2 linked regions of the Arabidopsis thaliana genome follow. The protein of the gene in region 1 interacts with the protein of each later gene in a pairwise test. Each region holds a gene or a part of one and is shown on either strand. Other genes may lie near its edges.

Region 1 (10,073 bases):
CCTGAGGTTGAAGCTTCGGTTCGAGTGGTTCATCGGGAACTGAAGAGGGGTTCAAGCATTGTTAGTCCAAAGGATGCAGAGCGGAAGCAAGTGGCAGCAGGATGGCCGTCTTGGCTGGTCTCTGTTGCTGGTGAGTCACTAGTGGATTGGGCTCCACGACGAGCAAATACTTTTGAAAAGCTGGAGAAAGTAAGTTTCTTTTGTTACCACTCTTTGGTCCAGATCCTGTTTCTGTTTAATAGAACCTTCTTTCTTATGGATGCAGATTGGCCAAGGAACATATAGCAGCGTATACAGAGCTCGCGATCTTCTTCATAACAAGATTGTTGCGCTAAAAAAAGTCCGGTTTGATCTTAACGATATGGAAAGTGTTAAGTTTATGGCAAGAGAGATCATAGTAATGCGACGGCTTGATCATCCTAATGTCCTGAAATTGGAAGGATTGATCACTGCCCCTGTCTCATCGTCCCTTTACTTAGTTTTTGAGTACATGGATCATGATCTCTTAGGACTTTCTTCACTACCTGGTGTCAAGTTTACAGAGCCTCAGGTACTGCACATAAATGTTGAGCTACCCTAATGTCAAAAGCATAGATTTTTCTTTCCGCTTCAAAATCCGTTTCTTTTATGTTTCTGTTGTTTAGGTTAAATGTTACATGCGACAACTTCTAAGTGGGCTTGAACATTGTCACAGCCGTGGCGTTCTTCACCGTGATATAAAAGGCTCAAACCTACTAATTGACAGTAAGGGAGTCTTGAAGATAGCAGATTTTGGGTTAGCAACTTTTTTCGACCCTGCAAAAAGTGTTTCATTGACTAGCCATGTTGTCACTCTTTGGTACCGGCCACCAGAACTTTTGCTTGGAGCCTCTCATTACGGTGTTGGGGTTGATTTATGGAGCACAGGTTGCATCTTAGGTGAATTATATGCCGGTAAACCGATCCTCCCTGGAAAAACCGAGGTATGCAAATTCTCGTAGATTTCATTTCCTCCAAATTCAGGTTGCATCTTGTTTGCTTCAACTCAAATGTAGCCCTTAATCTTTCTAGGTAGAACAATTGCATAAAATCTTCAAGCTTTGCGGTTCACCAACAGAAAATTACTGGAGAAAACAGAAGTTACCATCTTCAGCTGGATTCAAAACCGCGATTCCTTATAGGCGGAAAGTATCAGAGATGTTTAAGGACTTTCCTGCAAGTGTTCTTTCACTTTTAGAGACTTTACTCTCCATAGATCCTGATCACCGGAGCTCTGCAGATCGTGCCCTTGAGAGTGAGGTAACTGGTTCATGATGTTTTACTATGTTCTTGGTTTACTGAGATCATGGAAGCATTAGTGACAAAACTCTGTTCTTTTGTCAGTACTTCAAAACCAAGCCGTTTGCTTGCGATCCATCGAACTTACCAAAATATCCTCCTAGTAAAGAGATTGATGCGAAAATGCGTGATGAAGCGAAAAGGCAACAACCTATGAGGGCGGAGAAACAAGAAAGACAAGACTCTATGACGAGAATATCACACGAGAGAAAATTTGTACCACCGGTCAAAGCAAATAACTCTCTGTCAATGACAATGGAGGTAAGTAACTGTAAAAGGTCCTAGCTTTTATGGTCACAATGACCGTGGAGGTAACTAACTGTAAAGCAAATCACTCTTTTGGCAAATGCAGAAACAATATAAAGATTTGAGGAGTAGGAACGATAGTTTCAAGTCGTTTAAGGAGGAGAGGACTCCTCATGGACCAGTTCCTGATTATCAAAATATGCAGCACAACAGAAACAATCAAACTGGTGTGAGAATTTCACACTCAGGTCCATTGATGAGCAACCGGAACATGGCTAAGTCAACAATGCATGTGAAGGAGAATGCACTTCCTAGATACCCTCCAGCTAGAGTAAACCCGAAGATGTTATCAGGCTCAGTCTCCTCCAAAACATTATTAGAACGGCAAGATCAACCAGTCACGAACCAAAGAAGAAGAGATCGGCGAGCATACAATAGAGCTGATACTATGGATAGTAGACATATGACAGCACCAATTGACCCATCTTGGGTTAGTTAATGATCTCTGTTTTTTTATTTTCTCGTATCAGAGCAGCTGTTTTCTTTTACTAACATTCATTGTTGTGTTTCAGTATAATCCTAGTGATAGCAAGATTTACATGTCAGGACCATTGTTGGCTCAGCCAAGCAGAGTGGACCAGATGCTTGAAGAACATGACAGACAGCTTCAGGAATTCAATAGACAGGCACTCAAGACACCACAAGGCTGAAATCATTGGAAGAGCCAAATTATTGAGCGTTCTAAAAAGCCGAATCAGTTGAGTCAGATTTGTCACTATAATCTATTGGTTTCATAAATTGAGTTGATGTGATCGGCTTAAAGGCATAAACCACTACTGTTCGTATAGAGTTCGCTGTGTGTACATATATACAAAATCCCTTTGAATTCATTATTCCTTCTAAAATTGATTGTTGTTCCGTTGTAATTATAAGGTTTAATTGTAATATTTGGTTGCCTCAGAATCACAATCTCTCTTTGCAGCTTAAGAACATCCGTAGATTCAAATTGAATTATCCACTTAATAAACCGAGAATTAAGGTAACCTATCTTCAAAACCATAAAATTCAATTACAAACAGAACGGAAAAACTTGTTTTTGAAACGAAAAAAGAAATTTAACTGAAGATCAGAATATGATGTCATTCTCATACACAGAATCTGTGTCAGAAGGTGTCCTAAGATTTATCTGATTTCTCATCATTTCTCCAGCATTACTATTTTTCCAATACCAAAAGATACAAATCCAATTTAAACAAAAACGTCGAGAGAATTCTCCAAAACCGTCAAACAAAAATATAAAAAATCCAACTTTTGTAAGAATCAGAAAGAACGTAGCGAGTTGAAATTTTTGTCGATCATATGAATCAAAAGACCATCACCGATATACAACTTTCATCATATTCTACACAAAACCTCTTGAAAATCAAATAATTCACCAAAACATTAAAGAAAAACCAAAAACCAAGATTGGGTTGAATCGACAAATGGTGACTTTTCTCGGCGTTATCAAGAAGGAGATTGCTATATATAAGAGATGCACGAGAAACCCTAAACCTAAAAGCATGTTTGGAAACAAATAATATTTGGGCTTCTCTTGGATGCTATTCGAACTCGGCCCATTATTACTGCCACAAGTACAGTTTGGGCTTCGTTTCTATCCGTATTTGGCCCATTAAAACTGCACATGTATAATGTATTTCCCTTTCTAGCCTCTTATTTTCTTCAAATTAGAATAACAGCAAGTAAGTTTTCAAATTGCTAAATATTACGACTTTATTTCAGTTTCTCGAAAAAAGCAAGTCTTTTTCCTTTGCTCTCGCAACGCGATCGATTAGCGATGTCGTTGTTACACACTTTCAAAGAGACATTGAAGCCCTGTGGTAGTTTTCCGTCATCATCATCGTTGCGAGTTTCATCCACACAAGAATTGGAACCGTCGAGAAAACCTCCCAAATCGTCGCTCTCGCAGCAGCTTCTGCGTCTCGATGATTCTTACTTTTTACCCTCAAAGCACGAATCTAAAATCTCAAAAACCCAAGTCGAAGATTTTGATCATAACGAAGATGATCACAAAAGAAACATCAAGTTCGACGAAGAAGAAGTAGATGAAGACGATGAGAGATCAATTGAATTCGGGAGACCCGGGTTAAGCCGGGCTGAATTTGACTATTCCGGTCCTTATGAACCACTTATGCTGTCATCAATTGGAGAGATTCCGATCATACATGTTATTTTCTTACCAAAGTCTTTAACTTTTGCTCATGTTTAATGGAACTCAAGTGTTGATGGTTCTTCTCAAATTCTGGAAATTATTTGAATTTGCCTTATGATTTTGTTGTAGGTACCGGCTTCTATCAACTGTAGATTGCTTGAACATCAGCGAGAGGGAGTGAAGTTTATGTATAATCTCTATAAAAACAACCATGGTGGCATTCTTGGCGATGACATGTGAGTTCTTCTTACATGAGAATGTTCTTGTGCATTTGAATCTGTAGCTGTAATAGTTTATGTTTGGGTGATAATGGAACTCTGATAATAAGTATTGACTCAGGGGGTTAGGCAAGACCATTCAGACAATTGCATTTCTTGCTGCAGTGTATGGAAAAGACGGTGACGCTGGTGAGTCATGTCTTTTAGAGTCTGATAAGGGTCCTGTACTAATAATCTGTCCATCTTCGATTATTCACAACTGGGAGAGTGAGTTTTCTCGATGGGCAAGCTTCTTCAAGGTTTCGGTGTACCACGGATCAAACAGAGATATGATTCTGGAGAAACTCAAGGCACGCGGTGTTGAGGTACTTGTAACCAGCTTTGATACGTTTCGAATCCAAGGCCCCGTTTTGTCCGGGATTAATTGGGAGATAGTGATTGCTGATGAGGCACACCGGTTAAAGAATGAAAAATCGAAACTTTATGAAGCATGCCTTGAGATCAAGACTAAGAAGAGGATTGGTCTCACGGGTACAGTGATGCAGAACAAGATCAGTGAGCTATTCAATCTTTTTGAGTGGGTAGCACCGGGATCACTAGGCACTCGTGAACATTTCCGAGACTTCTATGATGAACCACTTAAGCTAGGGCAGAGAGCTACTGCTCCGGAAAGATTTGTCCAGATTGCAGATAAGAGGAAACAGCATTTGGGCAGTCTTCTCCGTAAGTATATGTTGAGGAGGACAAAGGAGGAAACCATTGGGCATCTCATGATGGGGAAAGAAGATAATGTAGTCTTTTGTCAAATGAGTCAATTGCAGAGACGGGTTTATCAAAGAATGATTCAACTCCCAGAAATTCAGTGCCTTGTGAATAAGGACAATCCATGCGCTTGTGGAAGCCCGCTTAAGCAATCAGAGTGCTGCAGAAGGATTGTTCCTGATGGAACCATCTGGAGTTACCTTCATCGAGACAACCACGATGGTTGTGATTCTTGTCCTTTCTGCTTGGTGCTTCCATGCCTTATGAAACTTCAGCAGATAAGCAATCATCTGGAGCTTATTAAACCAAACCCAAAAGATGAGCCAGAGAAACAGAAGAAGGACGCAGAGTTTGTATCTACAGTGTTTGGGACAGATATTGATCTATTAGGCGGAATATCTGCAAGCAAGAGCTTCATGGACCTTAGTGATGTTAAACATTGTGGGAAAATGAGAGCTTTGGAGAAGTTGATGGCTTCTTGGATTTCAAAGGGTGATAAGATACTTCTATTCAGTTACTCTGTCAGGTTAGTTTTTGGATTTAGTTTGATGAATGTAGGAGAATATTTGTCGTTGCAAGCTTTTGATCCATTAAATTACAGGATGCTGGACATACTGGAAAAGTTTCTAATTAGAAAAGGTTATAGCTTTGCTAGACTTGATGGTTCTACTCCAACTAATCTGCGACAGTCTCTTGTGGATGATTTCAATGCGAGTCCTAGCAAACAGGTTTTTATTAACCGAACCCTTTTCGATAGAGATCATGTTTCTTCTTACCTACTTCTGATCTGATGATTAAATGAGCTTTTATGTGTCAGGTTTTTCTGATATCAACTAAAGCTGGTGGGTTGGGACTAAACCTTGTGAGCGCGAACCGTGTGGTTATATTTGACCCAAATTGGAACCCGTCTCATGACTTGCAAGCGCAAGATAGATCATTTCGGTATGGACAGAAACGTCATGTGGTGGTTTTTCGTTTGTTGAGTGCTGGTTCCCTTGAGGAACTAGTTTATACAAGACAAGTATACAAACAACAGCTCTCAAACATTGCGGTTGCAGGGAAAATGGAGACAAGGTACTTTGAAGGCGTCCAGGTATGTAGAAATATACAGTCTTTAATTTATTAGCCTTATTAAAGAGATTGTTCGCTATTCTAATGTTTTGGTGTCTTGTGATCAGGACTGTAAAGAGTTTCAAGGCGAGCTATTCGGGATTTCAAATCTGTTCCGTGATCTCTCTGATAAGCTCTTCACTAGCGATATTGTTGAGTTGCATAGGGATAGTAACATCGATGAGAATAAGAAGAGATCACTGCTTGAGACAGGTGTTTCAGAAGATGAAAAAGAAGAAGAGGTCATGTGCTCTTACAAACCCGAAATGGAGAAACCTATCCTTAAGGACTTGGGTAAGAATAAGACTGATCTGTGCTCATCTATCCTTGACTACATTTTCTTAAGTCTTTACAATATTTGGTCGGGCTTGTGTGACTCTTTATATAGGCATTGTGTATGCACATCGAAATGAAGACATCATCAACATTGGAGAGACAACAACATCAACATCTCAGAGGTTAAATGGAGACGGTAACAGTGCGGATCGAAAGAAAAAGAAGAGAAAAGGTTGTAGTGAAGAGGAGGATATGTCTTCTTCAAATAGGGAACAAAAACGAGAGAAGTACAAGATGTTAGCCGAGTTTAAAGGCATGGAGATATTGGAGTTTAGTAGATGGGTATTGTCAGCGTCTCCATTTGACAGAGAGAAGCTACTTCAAGACTTTTTAGAAAGAGTCAAGTAACAATGTCAGATTTTTTTATGTAGATTTTGTTAATTAACTGTATATAGAGTAAGCTTACAAGGTTGCGCACATTTGCATGTGTTCTTACTTCTTACATATCATAAAGGCAACTCAACAAAAAATTGTACACAGAGCTGACTGGCTACCTTCTCTTCGCCCTGAATCTCGACACTGGTTTAGACGGTTGAGACGTAGAAGACTGTTGACATATAACAAGATAACAAACAAAAAAAATGTAATAAGAATCATGTTTCCTGCATTTATGAGTGTTGTGTAGTTCGAGTGATTAAAAAGTACCTGCGTTTGGCTGTGTGCGCTGGTCTCTAGAATATGGGCATGCTCTACGATTGATCCAGTAAAAGCCTGCACGAGTTGGATCAGAAATTTAGTGAGCTTAAAGGAAAATCAGATCTATCTGAGCAACTATACAACTTGCTAACGCTTGGCCGAAAGAGATGTGTATGTAACCTTGGTAGAATCAAACTCGGGCTCTGGCTTCTGTGGCTGCACCCAAAAAAAGTTGGCATGATTATTTGTGAGATGCTTGTGAATGATAAGTTTTGTTGCAGAAAACATGTCCATAATGCAAGGTAGTTAGCTTGATTTCGAATATAGATCTAAATACCTCAATCTTTTGTGGTCCTAAAACATTGGTTTTTGCATTCGTTCGAAAGTCTTTCCATGTTTCAGCGTTTTGCTGAGGGGTTCCGCCACGTGATTGACCTTCTGGTAATAAAAGAACATAGATGTTGGTTAGAGAATTGTTTTCAGGAAGATGATTCAATGTTGAATATATTAATTTGACACTTTTCTGATGTCTGAAATGCTTTAGATCATAACGCTAACCTTTGGAAAGATATTGTGCCATTGGTCGGATACGCTGCAATAACAGGCAATATCTGAGAAGGAGCTGTAAAACGCTAATGAAATCAGAGAACATCAAAGTGAAGGGGTTTTCTTACATTCAGCGGATCATCTAGATCTTTGTGTGGATGTGTCTCTGGTAACACTTGAATAATTTTGGCTTCGACCCTTGGCTGGATTATAAGTAAATAAACTTTAGGAAAACCCATTAACCATAAACATGAACCCAGATGTTAAATTTCCTTGGAAAATACCTCTGAGACCCTCGGTGAAGAGCTATGACCGGAAGCTTTGTTAGGAACAGATATGGTAGTTTCTTGTTTCCCGTATTCAACCCTACCACGGTCTGTCTCACCTCTACTTCCTTTCACCAAATCATGCTGGATCTGTTCCACACTTTCTACTGAAGAATCAGGATCTTCACCTCTACTATCCCCATCTTCACCCTCCAGTTCTTCCTCTATTTCAAGTTCATTCAACCTGGCCATGATTCTTGCAAAGTCATCGTCTTCAAGTTCACCTTCTTCAGTCTCTCCTTCAGAAAGATTACAAGGCTCTTTTTCACTTGAATGTATCACAACAGGTGCAGAAGAATCTTCTTCTACATACTCTTCTCTTATCTCAACAAGTCCATCCTATAAAAAATGATAACACCGGTTAAGATACATATGCAGAATCAAGAAAAAGGAACACACGATCCACTCTTTCAGCAAAACCTACCGCTACTTCAGAAGCAGTTGTAGTGAAGAATGAAGCCTCCGTTTGAAGATCTTCAATCTCAGCTTTAAGAGAATGAATTTGAGACTGTAAAGTCTTGTCTCTTCTCTTCAGGAAATCAACAGTTTGTTTCGATGATCTATCAGTATAGTAATTCTCTCCCAACAACACCTATATGAAATCACAAAACATAATCCTTTAAATTTGAAATTTACACTAACCTCAATAGCTTACTCTTAAACCTCATAGCAAAACGATACTAGAATCAAATTACATGTATCCTGCCATTGAAATCGAGAAGAGAGAACATATAATCATCATGAAACTTACCAAACACTCGTTGGTGTGAATCAATCGACCTGGGAAAAAAGCCATTTTACCGAATGGAACCTGTTTACACAAAAGCACCAACTACATTAAACGGGAGCAAAATTGAATCATAAGGAGAGGAAGTCAAAGGATTAAAAATTCACCATAACGTTGTGATGAAGCTGATCGGGAAGCTTCTTGACGAGATTGATGAGATTATCGTTTTCGTCGACGTACTGTTGAAGACGATTCATCTCTACTCGCTTCTCTCCGATTTTCTCCTCCATGTAACTTGCTGCTTTTCGAACATCCTCCTCTGAAAATCCTAACGGCGTCACCGTTCCTTTCGCCGGCGGCTCCATTCCGGTAAGGGTTTAAGCACAACGACGACGACCGATTGCAGAAAGAAAAAAAGAACCAAAAAAAAAATGGAAATTGAGAGGGAAGCAATAAAGGCTTCTAAGTTCTAAGTTATAGTGAACTTAATGGGCCGATTTAATATGGCCCAATGTATTTTATTATGTTTTCGAAAATAAAAATTGCCTTGTCTGTAACAAATTTATTAACGTTTGTAAATTGTGTTATCGTTGATATTTTTAGTAACAAATGTTAAAAGTTTAAATTATTGTAATATTTTTTACCAATCTTGATTTATTTAAAGAATTATGATGCCTGATAGTTGATATATTATTTACACTTCACACATGTGTCACATGTAATGCAAAGTGTGGAGATAATGGAATTGGGTTGGCAAGTAGGCTAACACACGAGAAGAAGGCCGACAATGTTGTGTTACTTCAATTCAATATCATTTGTATTCAATTCCAATATTTCGTAGTTTTGAGCTAGCTATTGACAATACATATTAAATGATATATTATTTATATATCCAATATATGTTTAACAATAAGTCAATAACACATCATTTACTACAAACACTATGAGAAACAAAAAAAAAATTTGAACTAAGATCTATCATCAAAGTTACTTTAACTAATACAATCTACCATAATGAAAAAAGTTATCACTAAATTTCAATAACTTATCACCCAAATAGTGTTTTTAATAGGTTTCTAACTTACAAAAAAAAGAAAAAATATAGTAACAATAAAATAAGAAGAAATTATATTAGTTTAGAAATACATATGAAATATTTTGTGGTCAAATTCTCCTAAATAAGTTTTGATATTTTGCCTTTTACGAAAAAAAAAATCTAAACTAAGTATGTGATATCCAAGCAGAAGTAGAGACGGGTCAATTATACGCGTGGTACACTTTTGGAAGTGAATTACATCCTCTAATTTTGATTTTGTTTGGTAATCGGATAATATACGTCTCTTCAAAAACGTATATTGTATCTTTTATCTCGTAAAATTAGAAAAATTATGGTGAAAGTCCAAACTTTTTAGACGCGTCAGTATGAACCAAAAAAACAAAAATATGATTAAGGATTTGTGAGAAAATAAGAGGTTTAGCTTAAGAATTCACAACATGTATAATAAGATTTTAGTATAAGGGATCTTAGTATAATTTTTACTTTTTTTTCCCAAGGATCTTAATATAATTAACAAAAAAAAAATATTATAAAATAATATAAGTATGCTAAAAGGTAAAGAAGTTTCTCTCTTTCTTCT
Region 2 (9,265 bases), on another chromosome or scaffold:
TATTAAACGTCTTTATGTACTTTTTCATTTGTCACAGGCTTTAATGTAGTTGCAGCAGGAGATTCAGACATTCATCAGCAGGCTTTGGAGTCACTTGAGTGGCATTGAAAAGATTCGCTGGTATGTTCTCGCCTACTTATTGTTTCTACACACTCCCTTGCTTGAAGACATAATTATGATCACTTTCTTCATACTTGCTTGTTTGATAAATAAAAAACTGATAGTTAGGTTATGATTCTGGTTAGAGCTTGTTTTTTTTTTTTTTCTTGAAATAGGAACCAGAGTTATTTTATTTTTGGCTTTGTGTTAAAATTGTCAAGATAACAGAATTAGCAATTTGCTAAATATAGACCATTGAATATCATCAATGCTCATATCCTCCACCAAATTACAGCATACTCCAAAAACTGGCCACACATATAACAACTCACCTTTTCTCTCTTTCATGACCTTTTTTTCTCCCTCTTTTCTTCAACCACAAGCTATCCAACAAACTCCCTCATTCCTTCTTATCTTTGTTCCTCCTCATCCCCCTCTCTTCTCTCTCTCCTTCCCACCCAGGAGGGATGGAGATAAGAAAGAAACCAAACATATTCACGGTTCTCGTCATTGATTTTTCTTCAAAGCCTTCCATGGCTCTCCTTCTGGCTATTCTCCTTTTCCTCTCAGGCCCTTCTGCATCTGCGGTAGCTGCAGCTGCTGTGGGACCTGCTACTGGTTTTAAACCGGCAGATGATATTCTCATTGATTGTGGAAGCAAATCGTCATCAAAAACCCCTGATGGAAGAGTCTTTAAGAGTGACCAAGAAACAATCCAATACATAGAAGCCAAGGAAGATATTCAGGTCTCAGCCCCGCCTTCAGACAAGGTCGCATCTCCTATCTACCTAACTGCAAGGATCTTCCGTGAGGAAGCCACCTACAAATTCCATTTGACTCGACCTGGTTGGCATTGGGTTCGCCTGCATTTCTTGGCCTTCCCTAATGACAAGTTCGATCTCCAACAAGCAACCTTTTCCGTTTTAACGGAGAAATATGTGCTGCTTCATAACTTCAAAATAAGTAACAACAACAATGATAGTCAAGCTGCTGTTCAGAAGGAGTATCTCGTCAACATGACAGATGCTCAATTCGCCCTCAGGTTCAGACCTATGAAAAGCTCTGCAGCGTTCATCAACGCTATCGAAGTCGTGTCAGCTCCAGACGAACTGATCTCTGATTCTGGCACTGCCCTTTTCCCTGTCATTGGGTTCTCGGGTCTGTCTGACTACGCTTACCAGTCTGTTTATAGAGTCAATGTCGGCGGTCCCTTGATCATGCCTCAGAATGATACATTAGGAAGAACCTGGATACCCGATAAGGAATTCTTGAAAGATGAGAACTTGGCAAAGGACGTTAAAACAACCCCTTCGGCAATCAAGTACCCACCGGAAGTTACACCTTTGATTGCTCCACAGACGGTTTATGCAACAGCTGTAGAAATGGCTAATTCTCTCACCATAGACCCTAATTTTAACGTCTCCTGGAATTTCCCCTCCAACCCATCGTTTAACTACCTTATCCGGCTTCATTTCTGTGATATCGTTAGCAAGTCTCTCAATGACCTGTACTTTAATGTGTACATTAACGGGAAAACTGCCATTTCTGGACTGGATTTGTCCACTGTCGCTGGGAATCTAGCTGCTCCTTACTACAAAGACATCGTTGTGAACGCAACACTTATGGGCCCTGAGCTCCAAGTCCAGATTGGTCCCATGGGAGAAGATACAGGGACCAAAAACGCGATCTTGAACGGTGTTGAGGTTCTGAAGATGAGCAATTCCGTGAACAGCCTTGATGGAGAGTTTGGAGTGGATGGTAGAACCACTGGCATGGGGAAGCATGGTATGGTAGCAACCGCGGGGTTTGTGATGATGTTTGGAGCTTTCATTGGTCTGGGAGCCATGGTTTACAAGTGGAAGAAGAGGCCACAAGATTGGCAGAAGAGAAATAGTTTCTCCTCTTGGTTGCTACCAATACATGCTGGTGATAGCACTTTCATGACAAGCAAAGGTGGTTCTCAGAAATCCAACTTCTACAACTCAACACTTGGTCTCGGCCGCTATTTCTCCCTTTCAGAGCTTCAAGAAGCCACAAAGAACTTTGAAGCATCCCAGATTATCGGTGTTGGAGGATTCGGTAACGTCTACATTGGAACCCTCGACGATGGAACCAAAGTCGCTGTCAAAAGAGGTAATCCACAGTCTGAACAAGGAATCACTGAGTTTCAGACAGAGATCCAGATGCTTTCTAAGCTCAGACACAGACACTTGGTCTCCTTGATTGGTTACTGTGACGAGAACTCTGAGATGATCTTAGTCTATGAGTTCATGTCCAATGGTCCATTCAGGGACCACTTGTATGGAAAGAACCTTGCTCCTCTAACCTGGAAACAAAGACTCGAGATATGTATCGGATCTGCACGTGGGCTTCACTACTTACACACAGGAACAGCTCAGGGGATTATCCACCGTGATGTCAAATCCACCAACATTCTTCTCGATGAAGCTTTAGTTGCAAAAGTCGCTGACTTTGGTCTTTCTAAAGATGTAGCTTTTGGACAAAACCATGTCAGCACGGCCGTGAAAGGAAGTTTCGGGTACTTAGACCCGGAGTACTTTAGAAGACAACAACTTACCGACAAATCCGATGTTTATTCCTTTGGTGTCGTTCTTCTAGAAGCTCTGTGCGCAAGACCAGCCATCAATCCTCAGCTACCAAGAGAGCAGGTTAACTTAGCTGAATGGGCGATGCAATGGAAACGAAAAGGACTTCTTGAAAAGATCATTGATCCTCATTTGGCTGGAACGATTAATCCTGAATCGATGAAGAAGTTTGCTGAAGCTGCAGAGAAGTGTTTAGAAGACTACGGTGTCGATAGGCCAACAATGGGAGATGTTCTGTGGAACTTGGAGTATGCTCTTCAGCTTCAAGAGGCATTCACTCAGGGCAAAGCAGAAGAGACCGAGAACGCTAAGCCTGATGTGGTGACACCTGGCTCGGTGCCTGTGTCTGATCCATCTCCGATCACTCCCTCAGTCACCACCAACGAAGCGGCTACTGTTCCGGTTCCTGCTAAGGTGGAAGAGAACAGTGGCACGGCCGTGGATGAACACTCTGGAACAGCCATGTTTACTCAGTTTGCTAACCTTAACGGAAGATAAAAACAAACTAACAGATAAATAATTAAAAAAGGACATAAAGAATGCACCAAACCGAATTTGTCGTTATAAACAGTAATTGCAATAGAAAAAACTTGACTTTTTAAGGTGATATATTTGTTTCTTTGTATGTTTTTTTGGTGGTGGTCGGGGAGATGTGTGTGATATTTCTATATTTTGGTGTATTTTATAAAATTTATATATTTTTTGTATGAAGTGTAATTTTGTGGGTGGATATGTATATGTATGTATGTGTACTTCTAAATGCTCTGCTGCATTTACTTTACTTATCCTCCTTCATTGTAGTTGTTAATATTAGCTTACAAATACAAATTCACATTGAAACATAAGTGTGTGTGAATCTTACTTGAAATTTACATCATTTTGTACACACAGGAAACAAAAAGTTCTCTTTTTGTATTCTAAGAAAGTTGGTTTTACAGTCTGGACTCTGAGCATCTGTTTCAGAGTAGACCAGAAAAGATCTGTTTCAGAGTAAAAAAATTTTTATCATCTGGTTTTGCAAATGAATCTCTTCTCTAAGAAAGTACCTAAACATTAACTGGGGAATAATGTGTTCGTTCTCCCATAGTCTTTGGAAAAAAAGGGTAACCTATTCTCGTACTTTGTTGTCTAGTGTAAACTCTAGTTAAAGCTGTCACATTTGAACCTGAATTAGTAATATTAAGGAAAAGGAACTCAATGGTTTGTGTGTTGTTATATATTGGATTCAAGCTTTGATTCATTGAATGGAATTTTAGTGTTTGGTTTACGACCTCTGTTAGTTAATAATCATAGACACCATTTCCTTCTTTAGATGGGTTAGTTTGGTTCTAATCAGGGAAAGCCATTAATTTTTCCATCTAATCATTGTAGAAACCTTGCAATATTGTGTATATGTAAACATACACAATCGTAAATGTTTGGATATCAAACTCTTCACAAGTGTTTGTAGGAGAGGAAGTATAGGTGAGAAAAGATTAGGGTCAGTCACAGATTCTGCAAAAAGTAAGAGAACCATGAAAGTAAAATAAAACATAAACCCAGAAATAGAAACCATTCCCTTCAATTAAGCAAATGAGTTCTCTTTCCTTTTCTCTTCTTATGTGTATATATAGAAATGAATAGCTTAAATTTTCCCACAAAAGCCAAAGAGACCCAAATTATTGTTTTATTTTGTTTTTGTTACCTCGCTTATATCTATTATCATGGAAAACATAAGTGGGTTGGCTTTTGATATGGGAGAGCTAAGAAACAACCTTCCCAAAAAGTAAAATCCTGAAAAAGGATTTCATTGATTATGATTGTTTGTTTAAGTTATGGAAATCCGGATTACTATCTAATTTTGGATTTTGTGAATGGTTGTAAAATAGGAGAGGATTATCAAGGTACTATTCAGGAAAAGCGAGATCATTCATATGTATCTCAGATGTAAAATGCCTTGAGGATCTGAAGAAACCAACCCAAACTTTTGATGACGATGATGATGATGAGGCTTACAAGAAGAGGAAGAAGAAGAACAAGCAATCATCTTCATCTTCATTTTCTGCAGCTATTAACAGCAATGTGAATTTCTCAAACTACCCTTGTCGAAGGGTCTCTAGTAGCACCCACTGTTCCTCACCTTGTGTTGCTTAGGAAAAAAGAAGCTTACACTTTCTCAATTTATTTAGTAGCTCCTTTGGTTTTTATTCTCAACCCAACACTGAAAACACAAACTTCAGTTCAGTGTGTGGGGGCGTCATTCATATCCAATTTTTGATTTTCTTTACTGTTTTTATGTCTTTTTTTTGTGGTTATCTTTTTTTCTTGCGCAAATTATGTAGATTTGGATGTGTTTGTTCCAATTTGCTTATTGGGACAAAAATGTTGGAAATCCTTTCGAATGTAATCATACGTACGCATAGAATTGAATAATAAGTGAATAAATATAGAATTGAAAGGTTCTTAAAATATTCCTTAGCATTTCCTATTTATCTGAAAACATGCAACACACAAAGACAAAGTCAGGACAAGTCATAATGAGTAATTGCTTACGTGGCTAATTTTACATGATTCACGACAAAAGGGAGCGGCCTAGAGGCGCGTATCACACACGCGCTTCCACTTAAAAGCTGACGTGGTCAATTGGCTATCTGACATTCTATTTACCCATTTTCTCCCTTTCTTTCCTCTATATTCACGATCCTGCCATTGTACACCCAATCATACGCTCCTGAGATCCTCATGACTTGTTCTTACCGTACTCCGCGAGACATGCGATTGATGATTCTTGACTGTATTCATTGAGAAAAACTGTTCGCAAAAACCTTGAGCTTCATCATCGTCCATTACTCACCTTTCAGTTTCAGATGCCCAAGCAAAAAGCTCCAAGGAAGCAGCTCAAGTCCTATAAACTCAAACACATCAACAAGAGTATTCAAGGTACGTCTGACTTGTTCATCCTCAATTTGAAATTCGTGGATATTGAAAGTGAATCGTTCGATGTTGTTTTGTGGTTAAAAAGAGGGAGATGCTGTGTTGATGCGGTCGTCGGAGCCTGGAAAACCGTCGTACGTAGCGAGGGTAGAGGCGATCGAGACGGACGCGCGTGGATCGCACGCGAAAGTTCGTGTGAGGTGGTATTATCGCCCTGAGGAATCTATCGGAGGGAGGAGACAATTCCATGGAGCCAAGGAGGTTTTTCTCTCTGACCACTTCGATTTTCAAAGCGCCGATACGATTGAAGGAAAGTGTAAGGTTCACAGTTTCAGTAGCTACACCAAACTTGACTCTGTTGGAAACGACGACTTCTTCTGTCGTTTCGAGTACAATTCCACTACCGGCGCGTTTGATCCTGACAGAGTCACCGTGTATGTGTTCCTACGACTCTCTGTTACTTTATTCGAGAAGAAAATACTGATTGAATGATGGAACTATTATCGGTTGAATTGAGGCTTTTTTGGAAATTAGATTGTGTTGCTTTAGTGTAGGCATTGATTGTTAATAATTCATTGATTTGTCATCTAAATTGGTTTCATGAAGTTGTTTTTGCAAAGAGAAGTAATCAATTGAGTTTAAATTGATTTTTTCTGTTTGCAGGTTCTGCAAGTGTGAGATGCCGTATAACCCAGATGACTTGATGGTGCAATGCGAGGAGTGTTCTGAGTGGTAAGTGTTCACTTATTTGAAACTCTGTTTTAATCTTCTTGAGTCACAATCTGGAATTGCTCGTATGTTTTTCGTGTATCCATGAGGTCCTAGTTGATATGCTATTGAGGTTGCTTGAGATGAATGCTTTTGTCATGCTTTACTTCGGTGATGCTCTTCCTTACTCATGTTCATGTTTTGTCTTATCTGATATTGTGGAAACTGCAGATGAATAGGAACATAAGCTGATACTCTAGTCTGAACGTTTGTAATATCTGTGATTAACATTCTAATGTATATGTTGCGGATTTTCAAATTTTCTTACACGTTACTGATTGAGTCGCTGTTAAGGTTTGGGTTTTTCTGCAGCTTCTTAGTTTGTGCCTTGGGTCTTTCACCCATGTTAGCTTGCTATATGACACAAGTAACGTAAATGAAGTCATACTGAAACAAATAGTGATCGTTTGATCTTGGAAGTTGGAACTGTTAAGTGTTAAGCTTAATCTTTTTACTTTTTTTTTTGTAAAGAGAGGATTAAGGTTTTTTGTTTCGAATGTCTTTGTCAGTTGCCTTTGATGTTACAGCAAACTAACATTGGCTCAGGTTTCATCCTTCTTGTATAGGAACAACAATAGAGGAAGCTAAAAAGCCAGATAACTTCTACTGCGAAGAGTGTTCCCCACAACAGCAGAATTTGCACAACTCTAATTCAACTTCCAATAACAGAGATGCTAAGGTATTTCTCTATTTCTCATTTCAGAAAATATCTTTAGTTTTTGAGGGATGGTCAAACCCGTTGCAAATAGGCTTGAATAAATTTAAGGTATTTAAGTTGACCGTTCGTTCCACATATAAAGCTAGCCTTGCCAACAATTGTAAGCTCTTGGACTGATAAAATATACCAACTTAAGGCAGAATAAACACATAAACCCAAAGTATATGTGTCATTAAGGTCAAAGACAACCTTGTGAAATGTTTTGTCCTAACTAACAGGTGAATGGAAAGCGCAGCCTGGAGGTAACTAAATCGAAGAACAAACACACTAAGCGACCAGGTTAACATAAACTTGTAAAGGCTATAGATATCTGGTTGGTGAGTCTGAGTATCAATCGTGTAATCTACAAAGGTGGTTTTGTTTTCTTTCCCTCTCTAGTTTTTTCTTTCTTAAAAAATGAGGGTTTAGGTTTGTTGGCTTGATTGTTGTATAATTTATATGTATAGCGTATGGTGGTTTCTCATCTCCTTTAGTTGTCACATATAAAATTTGGGTAAAATGGTTTGTTTATAATAAGAAAACAAAACAAACAAACAAACAAAGAGAGTGTTGGTTCCTTATTTGTTTGTTTTCATTGTGAACTCTAGAAACCCTTCATTCTTTATTAGTTTTTCATTCTTTATTAATTCTAAAACGCATATTCAAAGAGACATATTTGATCATCGTGTCTTCATAATTTGGTTCAAAGTACAGCCAAAAACCAGGAGGTACACTAAAAATCAATAAAATTACATTACAAATTATTTTTAGTACACTGGGAACATAAATAAATGAATCAGAGAAGAGAAACATGGCAACTACCGATCATGAGCTTCTACATTTGTCTCAGAAAAAGAGGAAGATAGAACTATTTTTTAAAGTTTTTAGAAAAGAGAGAATTAATATTATCCAAGACAACACGGCACTGCTAACAACAAGTTGAACCTATCCCATTCCATTACTCCATACCCATTCAATGATTAACACGTGGTTCTACATCATTGGTTAACTCTCTCCTTTCCCCTTGGATAAGGCATCTTAAAATAATAATAAATACCATAAATATCTTCCGATTTTTTCTCCGACTATAATAATGATGACAACAATATCTTTTAAAATTATCTTAAAAGAAACCGAAAGCTAATCTCCAAAGGGAAAAAGACGTGTAGCAGAGACCTATACATACACCTATACATTCACGTTGCGTGTGATAATCTACTGAGGGTTCTATCTATATTAATCCTTCTCTGCTTCCTTCAATCTAATTGCAAATCAAATGGATCGTCTTAAGCTTTATTTCTCCGTTTTCGTTTTGTCTTTCTTTATCGTCTCGGTTTCGTCGTCTGATGTCAACGACGGCGATGATCTCGTGATCCGTCAGGTGGTTGGTGGAGCCGAGCCTCAGGTTTTGACCTCAGAGGATCACTTTTCTCTCTTCAAGCGGAAGTTCGGGAAGGTCTACGCTTCCAACGAGGAGCATGACTATAGATTCTCGGTTTTCAAAGCGAATCTCAGGCGAGCGAGGCGTCACCAGAAGTTGGATCCGTCGGCGACTCATGGTGTTACGCAGTTCTCAGATCTGACTCGGTCTGAGTTCCGTAAGAAGCACTTGGGGGTTAGAAGTGGCTTTAAGCTTCCTAAAGATGCCAACAAGGCTCCGATTCTCCCTACCGAAAATCTCCCTGAGGATTTTGATTGGAGAGATCATGGCGCCGTTACTCCCGTCAAAAATCAGGTATTTTACTCGATGATGTCGCAAATTGATGTCTTATCGAATTCGTTGACTCTGGATCAAACTTCAATTCGTTTCTTTGTGCTGATTTGGTCTAATCCTGGTGTACAAATTAGGGATCTTGCGGCTCTTGCTGGAGTTTCAGCGCCACTGGAGCTTTGGAAGGTGCTAACTTCCTCGCTACCGGCAAACTCGTCAGCCTCAGCGAACAACAGCTCGTCGACTGTGATCACGAGGTTTGTCTTTTCTTTCTCTTGAGTCTTGGGATGAGTTTGAAGGACACTGAACATGACTGTGTTGATGTTTGATCACTTATCAATCAATATGTTATCCTAGATATTCACAGTTCTCTCCGGATATGTTGAGATGATAAAACTCACTACTTAGTTCAGGTTGCTTACTTTTAATGATCTTGTTTCTCGTCAGTGCCTAGGGAAGATTCATAATATG

Evidence for each region.
Region 2: the proteins of SWI2 (region 1) and SHL1 interact in a two-hybrid assay, tested with the Arabidopsis thaliana proteins (one large-scale study listed by BioGRID).

The regions. Positions count from the first base shown.
Region 1 is NC_003070.9:934,520-944,592, forward strand, and holds SWI2 (switch 2), read left to right. Parts: upstream 1-3,306; 5' UTR 3,307-3,400; coding exon 3,401-3,790; intron 3,791-3,904; coding exon 3,905-4,011; intron 4,012-4,114; coding exon 4,115-5,281; intron 5,282-5,356; coding exon 5,357-5,483; intron 5,484-5,572; coding exon 5,573-5,848; intron 5,849-5,933; coding exon 5,934-6,159; intron 6,160-6,253; coding exon 6,254-6,549; 3' UTR 6,550-6,643; downstream 6,644-10,073. Other genes in the region: AT1G03740 (Protein kinase superfamily protein), read left to right, coding at 1-189, 266-550, 645-962, 1,051-1,278, 1,363-1,578, 1,670-2,053, 2,136-2,273; AT1G03760 (Prefoldin chaperone subunit family protein), read right to left, coding at 6,692-6,748, 6,847-6,912, 7,018-7,053, 7,175-7,275, 7,396-7,429, 7,512-7,586, 7,668-8,048, 8,134-8,301 and 2 more. UniProt on the Arabidopsis thaliana protein: May be involved in early DNA damage response. Probable chromatin remodeling factor.
Region 2 is NC_003075.7:18,216,421-18,225,685, reverse strand, and holds SHL1 (PHD finger family protein / bromo-adjacent homology (BAH) domain-containing protein), read left to right. Parts: upstream 1-5,361; 5' UTR 5,362-5,551; coding exon 5,552-5,624; intron 5,625-5,706; coding exon 5,707-6,052; intron 6,053-6,281; coding exon 6,282-6,350; intron 6,351-6,932; coding exon 6,933-7,065; intron 7,066-7,322; coding exon 7,323-7,388; 3' UTR 7,389-8,057; downstream 8,058-9,265. Other genes in the region: IMPL2 (inositol monophosphatase family protein), read left to right, coding at 38-108; AT4G39110 (Malectin/receptor-like protein kinase family protein), read left to right, coding at 567-3,203; RD19 (Papain family cysteine protease), read left to right, coding at 8,360-8,818, 8,932-9,051. UniProt on the Arabidopsis thaliana protein: Chromatin remodeling factor that binds to methylated histone (e.g. H3K4me2/3) to prevent their acetylation (e.g. H3K9K14Ac), likely by recruiting histone deacetylase (HDAC) complexes, and thus regulate the transcription of target genes.